2 linked regions of the Saccharomyces cerevisiae S288C genome follow. The gene in region 1 interacts genetically with each later gene. Each region holds a gene or a part of one and is shown on either strand. Other genes may lie near its edges.

Evidence for each region. Genes that interact genetically often act in the same process or in processes that back each other up.
Region 2: mutations in GCN20 (region 1) and FPR1 together harm fitness more than expected from each alone (negative genetic interaction), as found in Saccharomyces cerevisiae (3 studies listed by BioGRID, with this or other methods).

What each region holds. Positions count from the first base shown.
Region 1 is NC_001138.5:156,244-164,087, reverse strand, and holds the start of GCN20 (putative AAA family ATPase GCN20), read right to left. Parts: upstream 1,601-7,844; coding exon 1-1,600. Other genes in the region: FAR7 (Far7p), read right to left, coding at 2,888-3,553; YFH7 (Yfh7p), read right to left, coding at 3,728-4,789; YFR006W (putative Xaa-Pro dipeptidase), read right to left, coding at 6,336-7,844. UniProt on the Saccharomyces cerevisiae protein: Acts as a positive activator of the GCN2 protein kinase activity in response to in response to low amino acid, carbon, or purine availability.
Region 2 is NC_001146.8:371,382-375,407, forward strand, and holds FPR1 (peptidylprolyl isomerase FPR1), read right to left. Parts: upstream 846-4,026; coding exon 501-845; downstream 1-500. Other genes in the region: EAF7 (Eaf7p), read left to right, coding at 1-264; YNL134C (uncharacterized protein), read right to left, coding at 1,070-2,200; FYV6 (Fyv6p), read right to left, coding at 2,790-3,311; ribosome biosynthesis protein KRE33, read left to right, coding at 3,940-4,026. UniProt on the Saccharomyces cerevisiae protein: PPIases accelerate the folding of proteins. It catalyzes the cis-trans isomerization of proline imidic peptide bonds in oligopeptides.

The DNA.
Region 1 (7,844 bases):
ATTGGATAATTGGTGGAGACAATTTATCACATTCAGGGAATTTGAAATCAATGGTTTTGTCTTGTTCAGGTGGCTCCAAAACGGGCAATTTTTCCAATTTCTTAATTCTTGATTGAGCTTCCTGTGATTTGGCAGCATTGTATCTGTATTTGTCAATAAACTCTTGCAAGTGCTTTCTGTAAACCATTTGGTTATCATACTCACGTTGAGCATTCTTTCTACGTTCCTCCTTTGTGGTGTAAAAGGTATCGAAATCTTGGCCTCTGTAATAGTCTAGTCTTTCGTTGTGTTGATAAATGATATCTGTAGCCACTTCATTCAAGAATGCACGGTCGTGAGAAACTGTCAAAACTGTATTTGGATATGTTTTCAAATACTCTGCTAAATAAGCGATGGATGGCACATCCAACATATTGGAAGGTTCATCTAACAACAAAAGATCTGGTTGACAGAATAAGGCTCTTGCCAAGGACAATCTCATTCTCCAACCACCGGAAAAGGAATTAGTGGGTTGTTGCTGTGCCTCCGTACTGAACCCCAAACCATATAAGATTGATGCTGCCCTAGCTTCAGCCTTGTCAGATTCCATATCGACTAATTTGTCAGAAATCTGTATCAAATGGTTATCCAAGTCTTCTCTTTCATTGTCCAATTTTTTAACTTCTAAACTGTCTTCTTCGAATTCCTGTCTTAATACATCCATTTCCTTTAATCTTTCATTGATCTTGGCTTCTTCACTTAATAGTTGTTTTCTCCAAACGTCTGCATCCAGCACACTTTGTAAAGCCTTTGTATCATCACCTCTTAACTCTTGTTCCACGTGTAAAATCGAAACATGTTTGGGGACGTTCAGCTCTCTTCTAGATAGAGCCCTTAACAAAGTAGATTTACCAATACCATTTTGGCCCACAAGACCATATCTGTGACCAAAACTTAGAGTCAATTGGGCGTTGGACAAAATTCTTTGACCGTCACCAACGTACAAGTCGAAAGTGTCAATATGGATATCCTTGGATTTACCAGCGGATGAACCGAATTCTAAAGGGTTGATTTGCAAAAAGAAAGAATCGTAATCCTCCTCCTTTTGGTCATTGATCAATTTAGAAGCCTCGTATTTAACAAATTTGTTATTTCTCTTGGCGACTTTCTTTGCGATCTTTTGTTCAGCCTTGGCCAGTTTTTTCAAATCAACTCTTGTTTCCATCTTTCTACCAGTATGTTCGATGTCACCGTTCACACCCAGCATGCTTAATGAGACGTTGATATCGGATTTACTGTTATGACTCTTTAAGACATTAATATCAAGTAATCTCTTGGACGTATCACCGGTCAATTCCAATTTGGCTTCGTTCTCCTTTAGTTGAGTAGTCAATTGCTTCAAAATACTTTCCGATAGTTCTTTAACTTTAGCCTTTGACGCACCCGCATCAATCAATAAATCGGACACAAATTGCACTTCAGTGGACAAATCTACCTGCTTACTTTGAACAGCATCAAAAGTTATTCCGGACAAGTGGTTAAAGTAGCCCACTGCGTAATCCGTGACGATAGGGTCAATACTAGAAGCAGCTTTTCTCACTTGCGAACCGATGCTTGCCATTTCAAAAAAGTTATTTACCTTTTGTGCTATGAATCGAAGTTAACGTTTTAGCGCTTCAAAACGACTAGTCTTAGCTAGCTTACTGCAGAATATATATTTCTCTTTTCAAATGTCTTTCATTTTCTACTAGATCTAATAATACGAAAAATTTTCAGGAACAAAAAAATAAAAATCAGAAAAAAAAGAAACTGCGCAAGCCCGGAATCGAACCGGGGGCCCAACGATGGCAACGTTGGATTTTACCACTAAACCACTTGCGCTTGTTTTCTTGTGAAAACTATCCTTGGATAAATCAATAATAATGTTTGTAACTTCTCTAACCAATTTGAGATGTAACGAATGATAATTAGTGTGTTGGAATAAAAATCCACTATCGTCTATCAACTAATAGTTATATTATCAATATATTATCATATACGGTGTAAAGATGATGACATAAGTTATGAGAAGCTGTCATCGAAGTTAGAGGAAGCTGAAGTGCAAGGATTGATAATGCAATAGGATAATGAAACATATAAAACGGAATGAGGAATAATCGTAATATTAGTATGTAGAAATATAGATTCCATTTCGAGGATTCCTATATCATCGAGGAGAACTTCTAGTATATCCTGTATACATAATATTATGGCCTTTATCAACAATGGAATCCCAACAATTATCTCAAAATTCGCCAAATAGTCAAGTATTATAGCCTTGATCAATAATGGGATCCAATAATTATTAAACTATTCACCCAATCTTCACAGATCTTCTAGTCAACGAGGGAAAATCCATATTTCTAAATAGTATTATTTATCCTTGCACTTCAACTTCCATTGAAGCTGATGATTGTTTCTTAATTTTCATGTTATCTTCTGGCAGCGTATATGAGATTATACTAATTATATGAAAATATATTAATAGTATAGATACTAATCGGTAAACGATAATCGACTCTCATCACAACAAAATGCTTTTGCAAATATTGAGGAAATTATATATGTTTATTAAACATATATATCCTGTGTATTTATAGAGGCTTTCCTCCAACATTTTATTATTTTTGGCAAATAATACAGTAGCTTAGGATATCTTACGCACGCAACTGCAGGAAAAGAACGTCAAGACATTCTGTGAGTTGTTTTCCCGCAAAATGTTCCACCGTCGTTACTTTTTCAATTTCATAAACATATATCAGAATGGAAAAAGCCTTCATAAATGAGCTTCGAATTTTTGCGCAATCTCGAATATAAGAAGCATGTATATTTGTCATCTTGCTTTCATTGGAAGCAAAAGGGCAAAGTTTCAATCTTGTGCATGTAACCTCAGTAGTAATCTATAAGTGTGAGATATATCTGTCAATTTTTGCAGACCATTAACATTTTCCAAATACATCTTGAACTCTTCATCTTCGAGGGGAATTGTCTCCGTCTGGAATTTCTGCCTAATCAATTTGATAGTCTCTTTATGATGCATTAGAATGTTTCCTCTTAATTGGGCGACAATGTAATTTAAAGAGTCTTCGGAGTAAGACAATAAATCCATGGATTCAAGGGTTACCTGCTTGGATTCCTGTAAACTTTTCCGGAGCATTGAATTTTGGCGCTTCAACACTCCTAGCATAACGTCATCTTTCGCATTTTCATCCAGATTGTTGCTTAGTTGCTCTTTCTCAGTAATAGGAGCTTTCCCTCTTTGTTCTAGAAATCTATTAAATAATGCAATATTTTCCGTGGTATCGTGAGGTTCTTCAGATGTCTCATACTTGTTTAAGCTTCCGGATAATATGTCTATGTTCCTTAGTATTTTCGCCTTTTCTGCTTGATTTTCCCTCAACTGTTTCACTAGCTTGTTAACTAACAAGTACATATGATTCAAGTTTTCTGCTTGAGGAGACATATATACTTGCTGCTGCTGCTGCTGCTGCTGTTGTTGTTGTTGCATTGACAAAACGTTGATTTGGTCACTCATATCTAAACCTTGGCTTGAACTTCTTGTAGAATCAATATGTATTACTTCCCATATATGTCGTAATAAAGGGCACCTCTGCAGAGTTCATAAAGAATGCCGTTTTTGCTTGCGCGCCTTAATTATCTGTATTCAGTTCGATTTTACAAAAATATATACAAGGTTCCGCCTAACCTTCTAGTCGTTGCGGATATGGACGATATTATCTACCTTAATTAAATGATTATCTATATCCCTGCCATTCAACAAATCATTGCTGCGAAACTTCTCTCGTCCTTCTGCAATAGTCGTGACTAACCCTGATTGCAAATGCCTTTTGGCCACCCTTTCTTCGGTGGCCTCATAGTCTATGTCAATCTTATAAACAAGAAGTGCTCCCGTATCAGCTAATGTTTTGTAAATTTTCTTCCAGTTTTCTTGGTCATACAGTAGGTATAACCCTTCAAGTATAACTATCCTTGTAAATTTGGAAATACAGTACTGATCTGGAGTTGGGTCTTTTAGTGCATGGTTAAATCCTGGAACAAAGATATCAGGAATTGTTTGGCTAAAAGTTTTGGATAACTTCTCAAAAACGCTTGAAGTGGAGTAAAATTTATGATGTGAGGAGACCTTACATAGGGACGTCTTGGCTAGAATTTTACACAATTGTAAGAAATTGTTACTGTCAAACGTTGAGGGCGAACCTCTTCTTTTATGGGCAGTTTGTGGGTCTTTGAATAGGTCTAGACATCTGCGAGATAAGTGAAAACCATCCATTGGGACTATTTGCGCTATATTGATACTATCCTGGGCCAACTTGTTAACATTGACTGGATTATCAACTGCTGCGATTCTTATGGCATTCGCAGTACCACCTCTGGCAACTACTGCGGTACATTCTTCATTATTTGATGTAAGGGCTGAGTACTTGACTGGTTGAAAATTAACATCCTCAACATGATCTTTAAACAGCCCCTGATTTTCAATCATTTCAGCTACTTTATTGGGCTGGAGCGTCTTTAAAGAGTCTACTAGGTTAACCATAGGTTTCAACCTATCATTAACCTCAATAACATTTGGATGCTCTGACAAAAATGTGTGATATTTTTCATTTATAATTTGACAAAGTTCTTCCGCAATAGTAGACTTACCGGAGCCTGGAGAACCGACTAGGATAACACAAACCCTATAATTATCTTCGATACGGTTATCCAATAGCTGAAGAACGTCGTCTGCTAGTTTATGCGTATCGACCATTGTGGCTAGAATGATCCTCTGGTATGATACAGGATAAAATATGTATAGTACTAGTGAAATTAACCTAACAAGGTTACTTCATTTTTCCCGAAGAGCAATACTTGATGATGCTTAAAGGTACGCATTTAATGAACGAAAAATAACACAGTTCGTTTGAGTAAAAAGAAAGCTCACAAAATTTAATACAGAAAAAAAATTATATGTAAACTGTGGACAAGTCTGATAAGCCCAGATAACCCTTCTATTTCACGAAGGTGCAAGTGCGATTGAAAAGAATTGTTTCATGGCATTAGCTATCAGGACACGAATGCATAATCGTCAAGATATTATCGGTATGCAGCAGTTGAAGTTGTTATTAATGTTATAAGGCACCATCATATGTGGCTTTGGGATGATCTTCCGCCGATTGGTGTTCATATTACAAAAATTTTATCACGCTCGAGGTTAGAAGATGGCATCAATTATGAGGCATGAATAACAAGGTTTAAGCACTAGTAATCATAGCGGATGCTGAAACGCCAAGGTTAATGAGTTCATAAGATTAACGAATAACGAGAACTTAGGTATGAGTCAAAATTTTACTTTCATAATAGATTTATCGAAAATGTGATCAATTTTCTGAATAATTTGATAACTGTTGGGATTGCATTGTTGATCAAGACCATAATATTATGTACACAGAATATGCTAGAAGTCTCCTCGAGGATGTAGGAATCCTCAAAATGGAATCGGTAGTTCTACATAATAATATTACGATTATTCCCCATTCCGTTTTATATGTTTCATTATGCTATTACATTATCAATCTTGCATTTCAGCTTCCATTAGGGTTGATAACTGTTTCTCAACTTTTATGTCATCTTCCTGAACCGCATATGATAATATGCCAATAACATGAATATTACCAAATGGATGGCATTTCAAATTATTACTTTAACAAAAAGGAACCAAATAACTCATATAATAATTACCTATTTCTCAAATAGGTGGACGACGGTTTATCCAATTCCAACAATAATAGTAATTACTAATATTATGTAGATTTTTCGATCCAAGTCCTCGAGGGCGACTCATAGGAATGCTATCTTCAATCAACAATGACATCCGAATAATTATCTCAAGTTTTACAACATTCTCAAATATTATGGTAAAAAGAAAACTTTGCAATCTGCAAAATTCTCGAATTCTGAATCGCTAGATTTCCTTATGAGAAAAGTCACATTTAAAGGTGTTAGCAGCTAGTTATTATAGTCCTATAGTTCCTGTAACAATGAATTTTTCATAAATAGAAGCGGATTTAGCTCAGTTGGGAGAGCGCCAGACTGAAGAAAAAACTTCGGTCAAGTTATCTGGAGGTCCTGTGTTCGATCCACAGAATTCGCATTCATTTTTTGCTCTTCGGGGTTGGTCCTTAATTTTTTCAGTGCCATTCCTTATATTTCCAAATCTAGTTAAATGGTGAATCCAAGATTATAAAAAAAATATACAATTCTGTGTACAAAAGAATATACTAAACTTCTAGAAGCGAGTAAAAAAAAGTTAATACCTAAACGATTACGTGGAAACCTGAACGGGGTTTCTTCAAACCTTTTTGAACGATTTTTTCAATTTCATCAGGGTCAGAAGTAATACCAGTTAAGTTCTCGTAACCATCTTTGGTAACAAGGATATCATCTTCAATTCTAACACCACCGACATACATGTATCTTTTCAATACGCTCATATCGACAACTTCCAATCTTTCGGGGTGCTTTTCCAAAAATTCTTTGATCAAAAATTGATTAAAGTAGCAACCTGGTTCATTAGTGATAACCATATTTTCTTTCAAAGGACGGCGGATTCTTAAATATCTAAACATTGGATCTGGGTCGTCATAGTTTGGATTACCACCAACGTCGTGTACATCAAGCCCCAACATATGCCCTAGTCCATGGGGATAAAAAGCGCAAGAAGCTCTTCTTTTAAAGATTTCGTCCTCAGAAAACTCTTTCTTGAAAATACCCATACTTAAGAAATGTTTAATAAGAACCTTGTGTGTCAGTGCATGTAAATCGTCCCATTTAGCACCAGGTTTAATCCTTTCCATTGCTTGGTTTTGCATGTCAAGAACGGTTTCGTAAACTTCACGATGTTCCGCAGTAAACTTGCCTGAAGTTGGGAAACATCTGGTGATATCACTTGTATATTGTCTCCATTCTGCACCTGCATCAATTAAGATGGAATGTTTACCTTTGATATCTTCTGAATTCTTGACGTAATGTAAAGTGCCACATGCCGGTCCAGAACAACAAATGGGGTCATAGCCCAAAGAACGACCACCTTGACGGGTTGCATGGTATTCAAATTCAGCTTGTATTTGTAACTCGTTCAGTTCGATGGGCAACGCGGACATAACGGCCAAATGGCTCTTGTCTGAAATCTGACAAGCTTTTCTGATGCTTTCAATTTCATACCAATCCTTAATTGCTCTAGTTTCATCCATAGCATAAAAGAAGTTAGGGTCTGAAGGAATTAGTGATCTTGCAATATTCTCGTCATGAACATTGTCCAAATCGGTTGTAAAGATAGCGAAGTCTTGCAATTCTTTAAATTTTTTCCCCAGATCAGATATGTACAAGGCCTCATCAATGTCAAACACTCTCATTGCCTCATCCAAACTCAAAGGCATACCGCTCCATATGACATCTTCTTCATCGATGTTTGGCAAAAACAATGTCAGCTTATCTGTGCTACAGTTAAACAATATCGCCGAAGCAGGTATATCAACACCTGACAAATGATAAAAATATCTATTCTGTCTAAAATCTTTGTTGGTGTCACAATACTTGTTTCCCTCTAATTCTTCACCAGCAATAAAAAATGCTGTGGATATCTTTGATAGCTTCGGATTGCGATTTAACAACAAATCTTTAACCCTCAAGTTATGTTCTTTCGCAGGATACTTATGATTTCTTATCTTGACCGGAATTTCATTTACGTTTGCTACCTCGCCCATTTCTTCCCCTTTTTCTTTACTGTAATAATACTTATCTTTGTACTCTGGCTGTAAAATTCC
Region 2 (4,026 bases), on another chromosome or scaffold:
GAAGGTAAAGGAAAACAAATTGAATCAGAAGGGGGCAACTTAAAGAAAAAAACGGAAAACAAAAAAGGAGATGATCAACAGGATGATACCAAAAAGGATTCTAAGGACAAAAATGAACCATTAGCAAAGAGAACTAGGCATTCATCATCCACAGGTAATACTAGCAATGAAACCTCGCCGAAAAGGAAAAGGCGGAAGGCAGGCTCTCGTAAAAATAGCCCTCCTGCCACAAGAGTTTCCAGCAGGCTACGAAATAAAAAATAATCACTGCTCATATATAGATCGCGATAATAAACGCTCATCCGTTCCATAGAGGTATCTGTATTTAATGTAGTGTAGCAGATATAGAATAAAATAACCTTAATGAAGAAATAGAATATACGTATGCTTCTCCTTGTCTAATCTTTTGTAATTATATATCTATTTCAATTAAGGCTCAGATACTTACCATAAACATAAATAAAAAGCAGAAAGGCGGCTCAATTGATAGTACTTTGCTTTTAGTTGACCTTCAACAATTCGACGTCGAAAACCAAAGTACTGTTTGGTGGAATCAAACCTGGGAAACCACGTGGGCCATAAGCATATGGGCCAGGGATGGTTAACCTAGCTTTTTCACCAACAGACAACTTTGGAATACCAACATCCCAACCCTTGATGACTTGGCCGACACCGATGTTACATTGGAATGGAGAGCCCCTGTCAACGGAGGAATCGAATTTTTGGCCGTTCTCCAAGGTACCGGTGTAATGAATGGTAACCAAGTCACCTGTCTTTGGGAAGGTGGCACCATCACCTGGGGAAATTCTGTCAATTTTGACGTTACCTTCAATTACTTCAGACATTATTACTTGTTTTGATTGATTTTTTGCTTATACTCGAGTTTAGGTGAAAGGCCTTACTTTAAGCTTTCACGAGTTTATCCACCAAATTCTTTCAACGACGTCTCTCTTCCGGCAATTTTTTTTGCCCGAAAAAGACTAAGGCGGGTGAGGGGAATTGAACGGCACTATAATGTGGAGGTAAACAGAATGATCAAGCGCTATATACATAAGTAGCTATAGATTATTTATTTCAAGACGGCAACCAACTTTTCGCCAGAATTCCTCCCGTGCTTAATATCATCAAGTAACTGTGGGATATCATCTAACCCGTTCTTGTAAACTTTCACTGGGATGTGGTGGATTTCACCATCATTGATTTTTGGATTGATGAACTTAATAAATTTTATGGCGGCTTCCTTGTATTCAGGGTCTGCTGGCAAAGTAAACGTGCCAAATGGGACGTCGTTACCTCCTATCAAATATAGAAGGGTTCCTTCAATACTGACGTTTTGCCTCCTGTCTTCCTCCTTGATATCTTTTTCGGTTAAAACGGTCAATTGAACGACCGTAGCGTCTAAGTCATCAGCGGCACATTTGTACACCTGTTGAATAGTTTCTGTGTTGGAGACACAGTCCACCAAGTAAGGAATGTTGTTGTACTTCTTTTTTATCTGTTCGATAACGTCAGCATCGTGGTAGTCAAAAAGTTCATCTGCACCGTACTCTTTCAACAATTTTTCATGTTTACGAGAAGCAACGACGATGATCTTGCTGAAACCGTTTAGTTTTTTTGCCAATTGAATAAGCATCTGGCCAACAGCAGTGGCACCACCCCAAAATAAGATGGGTTGATCTCTTTGCGCTTTGGAGGGCTTCCATGTCATGTCCAAGCCAAAACTATGTGTAAGGATCATACCAGCCGTGGTCAATGAGACTGGGAGGGATACTGCCCCTTCTAAAGATTTTACGGGGCCTTCTGGTAGCTTGTCTTTACCGCACAATCTAAACTCTCTGGCTGGTTTATAAGCAGTCTCGGATGAAATGGCAGAGTACTCAGCAAAGGCACCGTTTGAGGGGAACCTCACTGAAGCACCGTGAATAACCCCATAAATGTAATCACCAATGGCAAAGCGTGCAGCATCAACATTTGGGCCCAACTTTACGATTTGGCCGGCTGCATCACAGCCTAAGAGGGCACCTTGAGGACCAATCTTGAAATCAATATGTTTCCAATCGGTAGGGTTACCGGCAACGGCGACAGTCTTAATTAGAACAAATCCTTCTTCTAATTCAGGAATTGGAATGTCCTGTTTGACTACAGCCTTGCCATTTTCAATGACAACGGCTTTCATGGTTTCTGGAATCGAGGCGGACATGCTTGATATGCAGTATGATATTGCTTTTTGCTGTGTATAGTTAACGATTTTTTTTCAACTAGAATTACAGTACTAATCAAGAAGTGAGAGGAAGAAAACGGCAAAAAAAAAACTCTCTCCTTTTAAATCGAAGCATTGCCGAAATACCTTAAAAACGGTCTTAAATCCTTAACATCTGTCCTTACTAATCGATGCCAATCCAACGGAGGGAGCCCATATGCTAGGTACTAAGAGTACGCAGGGGCGGAACCGCGCGACAACCGTAAGCGGATCCGAGGAACTTTAGTCAGCAGGGGCTGTGATGACCATTAAAAAATTGCGGACACAGGTAGTGGAACGAGCAATCAATGTGATCAATTTGCCATTTCATTCCACGAAATGGTTTCCATTCTAAGCATGAATGCTTTGACGTTACGGGTGTTGGTTATTTCGGTTCTTTTTATTGCTTCCGTGGGCACGTACGAGAAGGGAAGATGAATAGAAAAAGAGTTTCCGAGTTTTGTATGTCCAATGTTTACATAATTTATATAACTTGAAGTTTAATCTTGGCATAAAGCTCTAGTTGTGACGAAGTGTGTAGGCCATCACATCAGTTCTCCAGTTTTCTACCCAATTTTTTTATGGATACCTTGATTTTTGGTTTAGGGCTGGATGTCTTTACGCCCTTTATTTGTGTTTTACTGCCCAAACTAGTGCCGGTCTCTAAATATTTTTCTGTATTAGTAGTAGAATCGTTCTCCATTAGTAATGCTTTTTTTTTCTTTTCAAAATTGATTGCCTTGACGTCTAAGTAGTTATTCAGTTCTTTTTCCTTTTTTAGCAACTCATTCTTGCTCTTCTGGTAAAATTCCAGGTCCTCTTTACTCAACCTAGTAAAACTTTCACGGTCTCTCACCAAACCGTTATATTGTTTTTGTTTACTAATAGCATTAGACCTAAGCTGATCTCGCAGGGACTTCCTGGTTTTCCTTTTATATTCCGCTTCATATTTTTTTTGCTCCACTTGCTCTCGTATCCTCTGGGCCTCTACATTACCAACTCCTTCTGACACGAATTTCAGTGGTTTTTTCTCTCTTGCACTATTAGCATTATTATCACTGGTAGATGACATGATGATATAACAGAGCCCACAGTCTTTTGTTGGAACCGCTTTCTCTAGGCTTCGATGGACTTACATCTAATTGCACATTCTCGTGCGTTTAAACGTCATTTTTCCCTCAGATTGGCAGTGCATCAAAAGTAATTCCTAGGGACGACAAAAAGGCGGAAAAGGTTTCAGAAAAATAAGCGGACTTAGCTCAGTTGGGAGAGCGCCAGACTGAAGAAAAACTTCGGTCAAGTCATCTGGAGGTCCTGTGTTCGATCCACAGAGTTCGCAATTTGAAAAATTTTTTTTAATGATTACGCATGTGGATGTGTTCAGTATCAACCGATGCTCGCTTTTCCAATCAAATGATACAAGCCAGACCGAACATTGCATGTTTTCCATTGTAACTTCCCAGGTATATCTGAATTAGTTGTAAAAAGTAATAGTTTACCCGGAATCGTGTGAAAAATTTTGAAAAAAAAAAATGAAGAGCCAAGATACAATGAGATGAGATGAGGTGCTGAAGATGCATGGAGATTCTGTATTTATCTCAAATAAAGTACGCAATAGAGTATATAAGCCAAGTCACCTTTTATATTTCTTAGTTTTTAACTTGCAAAGACTTATAAGAGACTTATAAAACAAGGAGAAAATGGCCAAAAAAGCTATCGATTCAAGAATCCCGTCACTGATCAGGAATGGTGTTCAAACCAAACAAAGGTCCATATTTGTCATCGTT